2 linked regions of the Canis lupus familiaris genome follow. The protein of the gene in region 1 binds, or shares a complex with, the protein of each later gene. Links are inferred from orthologs where the notes say so. Each region holds a gene or a part of one and is shown in the gene's direction. Other genes may lie near its edges.

Region 1 (4,177 bases):
CCAGCACAGCCTGCAACAAGCCTCAGAGGTGGGGTGCTCAGGGCCCAGAGGGCTCGGGAGGCAGGCTGGCACTGGGGAGGTTTTGGGGGAGCCCAGCTGCAGCTCACTGGGCTGGCCTCCCGTTGCCTTGGCCCTGCCCCACAGGGTGAAGCAGAATTCAGAGAGTGAGCGCCGAAGCCCCAGCAGCGAGGACGACCGGGACGAGCGGGAGTCTCGGGCCGAGATCCAGAACACCGAGGAGTACAACGAGATCTTCCAGCCCAAGAACAGCATCAGTGAGGCCTGCCCCCCGCCCCCCCACCCACCTAGCCGAACGTCCCATCTGTGCATAGAGACAGACGGTGTCAATGTCAGTGACAGTGTCACTGTCGGGGACAGTGTCAATGTCGCTCTGTTTCCGACGCTGGGTTCCCAGCTCACACCTGGGCCCCGGCTCCGTTCCCAGGTCCTCAAGGCCCCAGAAGAGGCCTGGCAGCCCGCCCTGAGCAAAGGCAGGCCCCATGGGGGCAAGTAGATGGGAGGGGGCAGACCTGAGGGTTCCTGGGACCGGGAACAGGGTCACGAGTCTGCAGCTGTGTGTGTACCAGAGAGCCACCTCCCGTCCCCCGTGTCCCAGGCCAGCCTGGCCCTTAAGGCTCAGGCAGGACCCCGGGCTGGCCAACGGGAGAGTCCCCAGCCCTCTTTGCCTCTGCAGGTCGGACACCACCCCGAAGAAGTGAGCCCTTCCCAGCACCCCCTGAGGACGGTGAGTACAGAGCCTGGCCTCCTGGGGGCACCAGCTCCAGCCTCTCTCCCACCAGATCTTTTTCCTATGCTCACCTAAAAGCACCTACTGTGCGCTGGGCTCCACCCTAGATTCTGGTGCATGAGCAAGGCAGGCAGGTGCTGTCCTCAGGAGCCTGCACCCTAGTGAGGAGGGCAGGAGGCAGCCAGATGGGACTGTAGATGGGACTGTCTGTAGATGGGACAGCACCGTGGAGGCAAGGGCGGGGCTGGTGAGAGAGAGCTGCTGAGGGCCTGTAGGAGAGGGAGGAGCTGGGGAGAGCCACAGGTGGGGAGGGGGTGGAGGCAGAGGGGCAGGGCTCCCTGGGGTCTGGGAGCAGGAAGCCAGGCCCTAGCTGGGGATTTGGGTTTTGCTGCTGGGAGAAAACATGATCTGCTTTCTGATTGGAGAAGAAGCCGGGGTGGGGCACCCTTGTCCCACAGACCAGCCCTCCCCTTCACCTGGCTTCCTCTTCAATGGGCCATCTTCTCATTCCCCCTGCACGTGGGGTTTCCTGTGCTTCCTGCTCACCATGCACTCACTGCCAGCCCACCCCAGCACACACACTCCATTCCCAGTGAGGGGCCAGGCCACTCCTGGGAGCTCCCTGGCTCCCATCTGCAGGCAGTGCTTGACACCTGCTTTCTGCCAGATTTGTGGGTGAGTGGGTGGAGAAAGGGAGGGAACATCTAGCCCCCACCCTCAAGCCTCCCCAGGAGTCTCCCCACCTCTCCCCCCACATACACACTGCTGCTGTCTCCTTCCCCAGTTGCCCCATTGGCTCCTGCTTCATCCCCCCAGTTAACAGATGCAGCCCAGAGGCCCACCATAAGCCCCGCCTTCTTCCCCAGCCAGTCCCTCTGGCCTGACCCGACCCAAAGATCTTTCCCTTTTGCCTCCAGACATGGCCACAGCCAAGGAGGTGGCAAAGCCCAGCCCAGCCACGGACTCGCAGTTCCCGGTGCCAAATGTATGTCTGGGTGGAGAGGGCATGGTAGGGCTGGGAGAGGGGCCCTCCGTGCCAGGGTGGGCGGAGAGGGGGCCTCAGGCTGGCCACCCACTGAGCTCCAGCCCCAACAGCTCGAGGTCCTGCTCCGGCCCCCGGCTGTCACTTCCACTCCTGCGCCCAAGGCTGAGCCTGCCATCATCCCAGCTACCCGGAATGAGCCCATCGGGCTAAAGGCGTCTGACTTCCTGCCCGTGAGTGGGGGCCCAGCCCCGGGGCAGGGTGGAAGCCTGTGGGGCAAGGACAGAACGTCACCGTTGGCACCTGGGCACTCGTCCTACGCAGGCCGTGAAGATCCCCCAGCAGGTGGAGCTGGTCGACGAGGACGCCATGTCACAGATCCGCAAAGGCCATGACACCATGTGTGTGGTACTTACCAGCCGCCACAAGAACCTGGACACCGTGCGGGCTGTGTGGACCACGGGTGACATCAAGGCAAGCACTTTTCCCCCAGGCTTTGGGCTGACCCCAGACAGCGGCTGCACAAGGGCAGAGGGGCCCCTGTCACCACTCTGGCTGATTTCATGCCATCATCGTCATCATTTATTGAGCGCTTCTTTACGGACCTGGCCTCACCCATCATTTTAGCTACAGTCTTGTTAACACCCCACAACAAAGCCCATCATGACGCCACTCCCCGGGCAGGGGCTCCAGGCCCCTCTGACAGGTGCTCTGTTTGCATAGACGTCAGTGGACTCAGCTGTGGCCATCAATGACCTGTCCGTGGTCGTGGACCTCCTTAACATTGTCAACCAGAAAGCGTAAGTAGGCGTGGTGGGCGGAGCGGGTCGAGTGAGTGGAGCCAGGTGCTGAGGGTACCTGTCCCTGGTCCTCTCCTCAGCTCCCTGTGGAAGCTGGATCTGTGCACCACGGTCTTGCCGCAGATCGAGAAACTTCTGCAGAGCAAGTATGAGAGGTACATGTAGGGAAGCCATACCTGCCTTACCACAGGGACGGGGAGGGACAATGGGAAGGACCCCCCAAGGCCAGTGCCCCTGGGAGGTGGGTGTGTAGCAGTGCTGTCCCCTGCAGGTGGGAAGCCATGGTGCACACAGGCCTGTGCTGCCCCTGGCCCCCTGCCTACCCCCTCTGTCTTTGTGTACCCTGCTCTCCATCTTTCTCTCTGTGGCTCTGTCCATCTGCCTCTGAAGCTATGTCCAGACCGGCTGCACCTCCCTGAAGCTGATCCTGCAGCGGTTTCTGCCCCTGATCACTGACATCTTAGCAGCACCCCCCTCTGTGGGTGTAGACATCAGCCGGGAGGAGAGGTGAGGGGCCAGGTGGGGTGTGAATGTTGGGGTACACAGGTCTGGGGGCCCAGCCTGCTTGCTGATGGCTCTGCTGGAATAGCCCACAGAGGAGGTTGTGCCTGGGCTTGTCCGTGGCCTGGCCTGGGTGGGTCCTGTACCCTGGGCCTCGGCCAGCCTCCCAGAGGAGGGCGGGAGTAGTTCAGCAGGAAAGGGCCTAGCCCTTCGTGCACTACTTCTCTGCCCACAGGCTACACAAGTGCCGGCTCTGCTACAAGCAGCTCAAGAGCATCAGTGGCCTCGTCAAGAGCAAGTCAAGTTTGAGTGGCCGTCATGGCAGCGCCTTCCGAGAGCTGCACCTACTCATGGCCAGTTTGGACTGAGGAGCTTTCGGCCTGGCCTCAGCCCCTAATCCTGTCCCCTGTGCGCTCCTGGGCCCAGGAGCCTCTGCCCAGCCCCCGCTGCAGCCCTGTGGCCACCCTGGAGGCGGCAGCGCTGGCCCACCAGCCACCTGCACAGCCCCCGAGCTCTCAGACAACTTCTCCCCAGCAGCGGCTGCCCAGCTTTGCCAACTCCCGCTTCCTGGGGCAGCAAAGAGCGCCCTGGGGCTGCTGGTGTAATTTATAAGGTCAATTTTATTAAATTTGTAACTATTCCCTGGTTTCTTTGCCTGGAGGGGAATTCTCTGGCCACGCAGCTCAGCTCGCTCAGGCCCAGGACTGGCCTGTCTTGGCCCCTCTGAGCCAAGAGGCAGTGTGGCCAGCTGGGGGCAGCAGAGTGCCCGGCCTGCCGGAAGGGGCCAGTGCAGAGCACGCTGGGGGAGGAGCGGAGGCACCCCCCTCTTCCAAGGCTAAGGGAGACAGGAGAGGGGTGGGCCCCACCAGCCCATCCCCTCCATCTCAGCCACGCTCCCAGCTGTCCTGCGGATGCCTCAGGGGCCGGCCGACAGCTGTATGCTTCCAGGTGCCAGGACCCCAAGCCTCACAGGCTTGGCCACCACTGAGCCCACCACCCTCCCCAACGCCTCCAGGAGGCCTCCTGGGACAGGGCTGGAAGGGCAGTGGCCCTCCTCCCAGGAGGATCCCCCAGCGCTGACCCCTTCTGCTCCTGTGGCAGCCCTAGTTGGAGAGAGGGCCCCACTGAGCCCCTGTGCACATTCCC
Region 2 (4,094 bases), on another chromosome or scaffold:
CTCTGCCTCTTTCTCTGTTTCATAAATAAATAGATAGTAAACTAATTACAATTTCCGGTGCTCTGTTACTGTGGAGTTCCTATCCACAGCAACACTTATTCTCTACTTAGCTGAGAATTTTAGGTAGCCCAGGTGGCTGGGTGGTTTAGCGCCGCCTTTATCCGGGAGTGTGATCCTGGAGACTCAGGATCGAGTCCCACATTGGGGCCCCTGCATGGAGCCTCCCTCTGTGTCTCTCATGAATAAATAAATAAAAATTTTTAAAATGTGTGACTTTAATCTCCATGAGACATTACACGTATGTTTTTAAAGATTTTGTTTATTTATTCATGAGAGACACACAGAGGCAGAGACACAGGCAGAGGGGGAAGCAGGCTCCCTGCAGGGAGCCCCACACGGGACTCCATCCCAGGGCCCCAGGATCACGCCCGGAGAGGAAGGCAGATGCTTAACCGCTGGGCCACTCAGGCGTCCGGAGACATTATATTTTTTTGATTGCTGTATACCTGATGCCTACCACAGTGTCAACAGCATCGTAGTTGCTCAATAAATATCAGTGGAATAAATGGATAGCTTTCCTTTGAACTGAATGTCTTTATATAAATCTGTGTTAAATTACTGCGATGATTTAAGATTATAATTTCAACGACCATGCGCTCCTAAAGGAGAACGCGTCTCGCACCTCTTGCCTCTTAGGTGTTGGGACAGGACGGAGATGGAGGCTGAGGAAGCCTGGCCAGTTGTACCGTGGAGCACGCATCTGCAAATCCTGGCACATCACAGTATTGTGTTGTCCGCTTGCATTAAAATGATGGCCAAAAAAATAAATAAATAAATAAATAAATAAATAAATCAAGAAAACAAAACTCCACGAGCAGCATGTCCGCATATCTTCGTTCACCCATTCCCTATGTTATCAGTCTTAGGTCGTGACCAGCGCCCCAGTCGAATTCTGCGTTATTTGGTTCTAAAACTGGATCTGTCATAAATTATTTGGCCCTTGGCACTCACCAGTAAAACAGACCCTCTGGCTTCCTAACCTCTGAGGAGCACGGTGGAAATCAAATGGGAGGAAAAGGGAGCGAGAACTTTGAAGAAGATACCAAGGTACGACGTGGGATGCTACTAGCTTCACGCCGCGCATCCCTACTACCCGCCCCGAACGCCGCCAGGAGACCGTGCGGACTGCGCAGGCGCGCCCCTGCAGCCCCGCCCCCCGCCCCCCCCCCCCCCCCCCCCCGGCCTGGCGCCCGGCGCGCGCACGCCGCCCGGCGTCCTCGCTCCCGGGGCGTCGCGTCGCGTGCGCTGGAGCCGCCGAGGCCGCCCCCAGCACCGGAAGTGACCCTGGCGGGTTTGCCTTCAAATTCTCGGCGAGCTGAAGCGGCGCCGGGGCTGGTGGCGGTTGGACATCGCCGTCCTGGGGCGGTGAGCACAGAGCAGAGTGGTTGGGGCTGCGCAGGGCCCGGCCTCCTCGCCGCCCTGAGCCCGCACGGCCCTTCCCCTCCGCCTGGCGGTGGGCGGCTTCCCACGGAGCCTCGGCAGCCGCAGGTGAGTGTTCACCCCCGACCCCCCGGGCCCGCTCGGCGAGGCGCTCGGGCGGCGACGAGCCCGCCTCGCATCCTCCCCTGAGCCTGCCCTGAGCCTGCCCTTGGCTGCGCCGGGGTCTTGGGTCCTTGCTGTTGTCGCTGACACCTGTGGCTCAGGTGACGCGTCCCCTACCTGAGGAGTGCTGTCGAGCCTGGGATTCGGGGGGCCCCTGGCGCTCCCCTTGCTAGGCCTGTGTCATCGGAGGAGTCTCTCATCGGAAAAAAACGTCTTTCTTTATTCCTTCGCTTTTTTTTTTTTTTTTTTTTTTTTTGAGCGGCTGTCCTCGGAATCTGCCCACGCACCCGCCCCAAACCCTCACCCCCGAAAAACCTTGAAAACCTTGACAGCGGGATGCAACTTCTCTTACATTTTGTTAGATACGAGTGATATTGTTGAGGATATGCTTTATTCTGGCGCCCCGCGTCCTCTGGGAGGCTTTTGGCCCTTTTGGTCCAGAGTTGGTACCTTTTGGCAAATGTATCCCTCGAAACATTTGTTTCAGATCGTATATTTCTAGGGTGACGAAGTTGGAGATAACGTGGATCCTTACGTGCCCCCTACAGCGGATAGTCTCAGCCCTTATTTAATCAAAAATAATTTTCTCCTTTTAACTGCGAAGTGCTGTTTTATATCAGTTACTAAATTTCCAGCAGCACAATTTTGCATCCTTTTCTCCTGAAAGCATTCACTTCTGTGTTTCTCCTTGAAATCCTACCTTTAGTTACTGCTAAAAACATTCCTAATGTTTTAGAACCTCTGCCACAACGATAGAAAACCACCGTGTCAAGAAAGATTCTTGTAAAGTTCACAGGCTTCTAAATGTCTCAATGTGTAGCCGCATTGTCTTTTCCAAAGGAGATGATTTTTGTAATCAGGGAGTTCTCACACAGAAATAACTGCAGAACTCTATTTTGTAATTTCTATTAATTTGTGGCCTGTATCATGCCTTAAAAAAAAAATTTTTTTTTTTTTTTTTAAAGCAGTGCTGATCAATTTCCAACATTCCTAAACCGTGGAAAGCTATGTAAAGCTCCTCTAGGGCATTGGTTATTCAAGAAGCTTTTACACTTTACAGATTCAGTACTCAGCATACTATATATACAATGGATTCTGCATCTTATTTTGAAACTGATGTCATAGTTTGACAAATACTAAGGATTTGGGAATCTTGTAGAATTCACTGTACTAACAACATTGTTGAATTTCTTTTTTTTTTTTTTTTTTAAGATTTTATTTATTCATGAGAGACAGAGAGAGAGAGGCAGAGGGAGAAGCAGGCCCTCCCTCTAGGAACTGAATGCAGCACTCGATCCCTGCACCCAGGAATCACAACCTGAGCTAAAGGCAGTGTTCCACCACGGAGCCACCCAGGTGTCCCGACATTGTTGAATATATGTTTGCGACAATGGTTTAGGTTTTTCTTTTTGGCTATGTGATTGGTAAAAAAAAAAAAGATAGTGTATCAAATCAGTATAATCAATATTGACAACATGATAAATAGATATGCTTATAGTGTTTATTGCTATGGCTTGAATATGGCTTTTATTTTATTTTTTTTAAGATTTTATTTATTTATTTGAGAGACAGAGAGCACAAGCAGGGGGAGTGGCAGAGGAAGAGGGAGAAGCAGGCTCCACTCTGACCAGGGAGCCGGATGCGGGGCTTCATCTTAGGAACCTGGGACATGACCTGAGCCACCCAGGTGCCCCTGAATATGGCTTTTAAATTACATCTTAATTGTTATATTGACTTATTTTTGTTTTGTTCAGGGTAAACTGAGAGGTTATCAAATACATATTTATGTATTCTTTTTTTCCTGAGCAAGCACACTTGGATAACTTTCTTGTTCTTCTTGAGTATTTATCATATGGTGATTATAAAGGTAGGAAAAATGTATGCCATGCTATAATTGGTCATGGATCACTCATTTATTGTATATATTTATAATTGTTAGTGACTAAGTTAGCATTATGGTTGTTTTCATATCCCAGAGATGAACTTTCTGAACATTGCTTAATAGTATTGTCACTTTTAAAGTTACATACACTTGATTTACTGAAATTCCTTCAAGAAAATCTATGAATGAGGTTCATTTGTTTTTGTTTTAGGACATCAGTTTTACAGATAAATATTTTCAACATAGGTGTTGATTTTTGTAGCCTGTGCTTAATAATATGCCATGCTTCTCCTAAGTGAAGCAAATACACCTAGAATAGATCAATGATGTTCTATTAAACTTCAAGGATATAAAGGTTTAAGTCTTATTTTTGTTTTCAGTGCAATTCCTTGGAACTGAGTAGTTACCCAGTTAATATTTCCTGAGTGAGTGACCTATGCACATTACAGTAAAAACTGGAATATTAGTGGAACCCAGCCTGACTCCCTAAAATATTAAATGGATATGATATTCTTAGGTGTGGAATAGGGAAGGCCTCATATTTTTTTTGGGGGGGGGGGGAGTGTAGGAATCTCAGAACCTCAGATGTTTGGATCTATTGCCTATTCTT

Evidence for each region.
Region 2: the proteins of KATNB1 (region 1) and KATNA1 are in contact, whole or in part, in a crystal structure (PDB 5OW5), measured with the Mus musculus proteins. The link is inferred for Canis lupus familiaris from reciprocal best matches to the Homo sapiens genes KATNB1 and KATNA1. Residues at the interface, in NP_083081.2 of Mus musculus: Leu485, Val486, Asp487, Glu488, Ala490, Met491, Gln493, Ile494, Arg495, Gly497, His498, Met501, Phe502, Val504, Leu505, Thr506, Arg508, His509, Leu512, Asp513, Val515, Arg516, Trp519, Thr521, Asp542, Leu543, Ile546, Gln549, Lys550, Leu553; in NP_035965.2 of Mus musculus: Leu5, Gln6, Ile8, Val9, Val12, Arg16, Ala19, Leu20, Leu21, Gly22, Tyr24, Tyr31, Tyr41, Leu50, Lys53, Trp54, Gln56, Val57, Glu60, Ile61, Val63, Glu64, Gln67, Val68, Asp70, Ile71, Thr74, Leu75, Ser77, Phe78.

What each region holds. Positions count from the first base shown.
Region 1 is NC_049223.1:58,005,258-58,009,434, reverse strand, and holds the end of KATNB1 (katanin p80 WD40 repeat-containing subunit B1), read left to right. Parts: coding exon 1-28; intron 29-144; coding exon 145-275; intron 276-694; coding exon 695-745; intron 746-1,665; coding exon 1,666-1,733; intron 1,734-1,843; coding exon 1,844-1,963; intron 1,964-2,054; coding exon 2,055-2,204; intron 2,205-2,453; coding exon 2,454-2,530; intron 2,531-2,610; coding exon 2,611-2,685; intron 2,686-2,920; coding exon 2,921-3,037; intron 3,038-3,266; coding exon 3,267-3,399; 3' UTR 3,400-3,677; downstream 3,678-4,177.
Region 2 is NC_049222.1:40,682,080-40,686,173, reverse strand, and holds the start of KATNA1 (katanin p60 ATPase-containing subunit A1), read left to right. Parts: upstream 1-1,294; 5' UTR 1,295-1,548; intron 1,549-4,094. UniProt on the Homo sapiens protein: Catalytic subunit of a complex which severs microtubules in an ATP-dependent manner. Microtubule severing may promote rapid reorganization of cellular microtubule arrays and the release of microtubules from the centrosome following nucleation.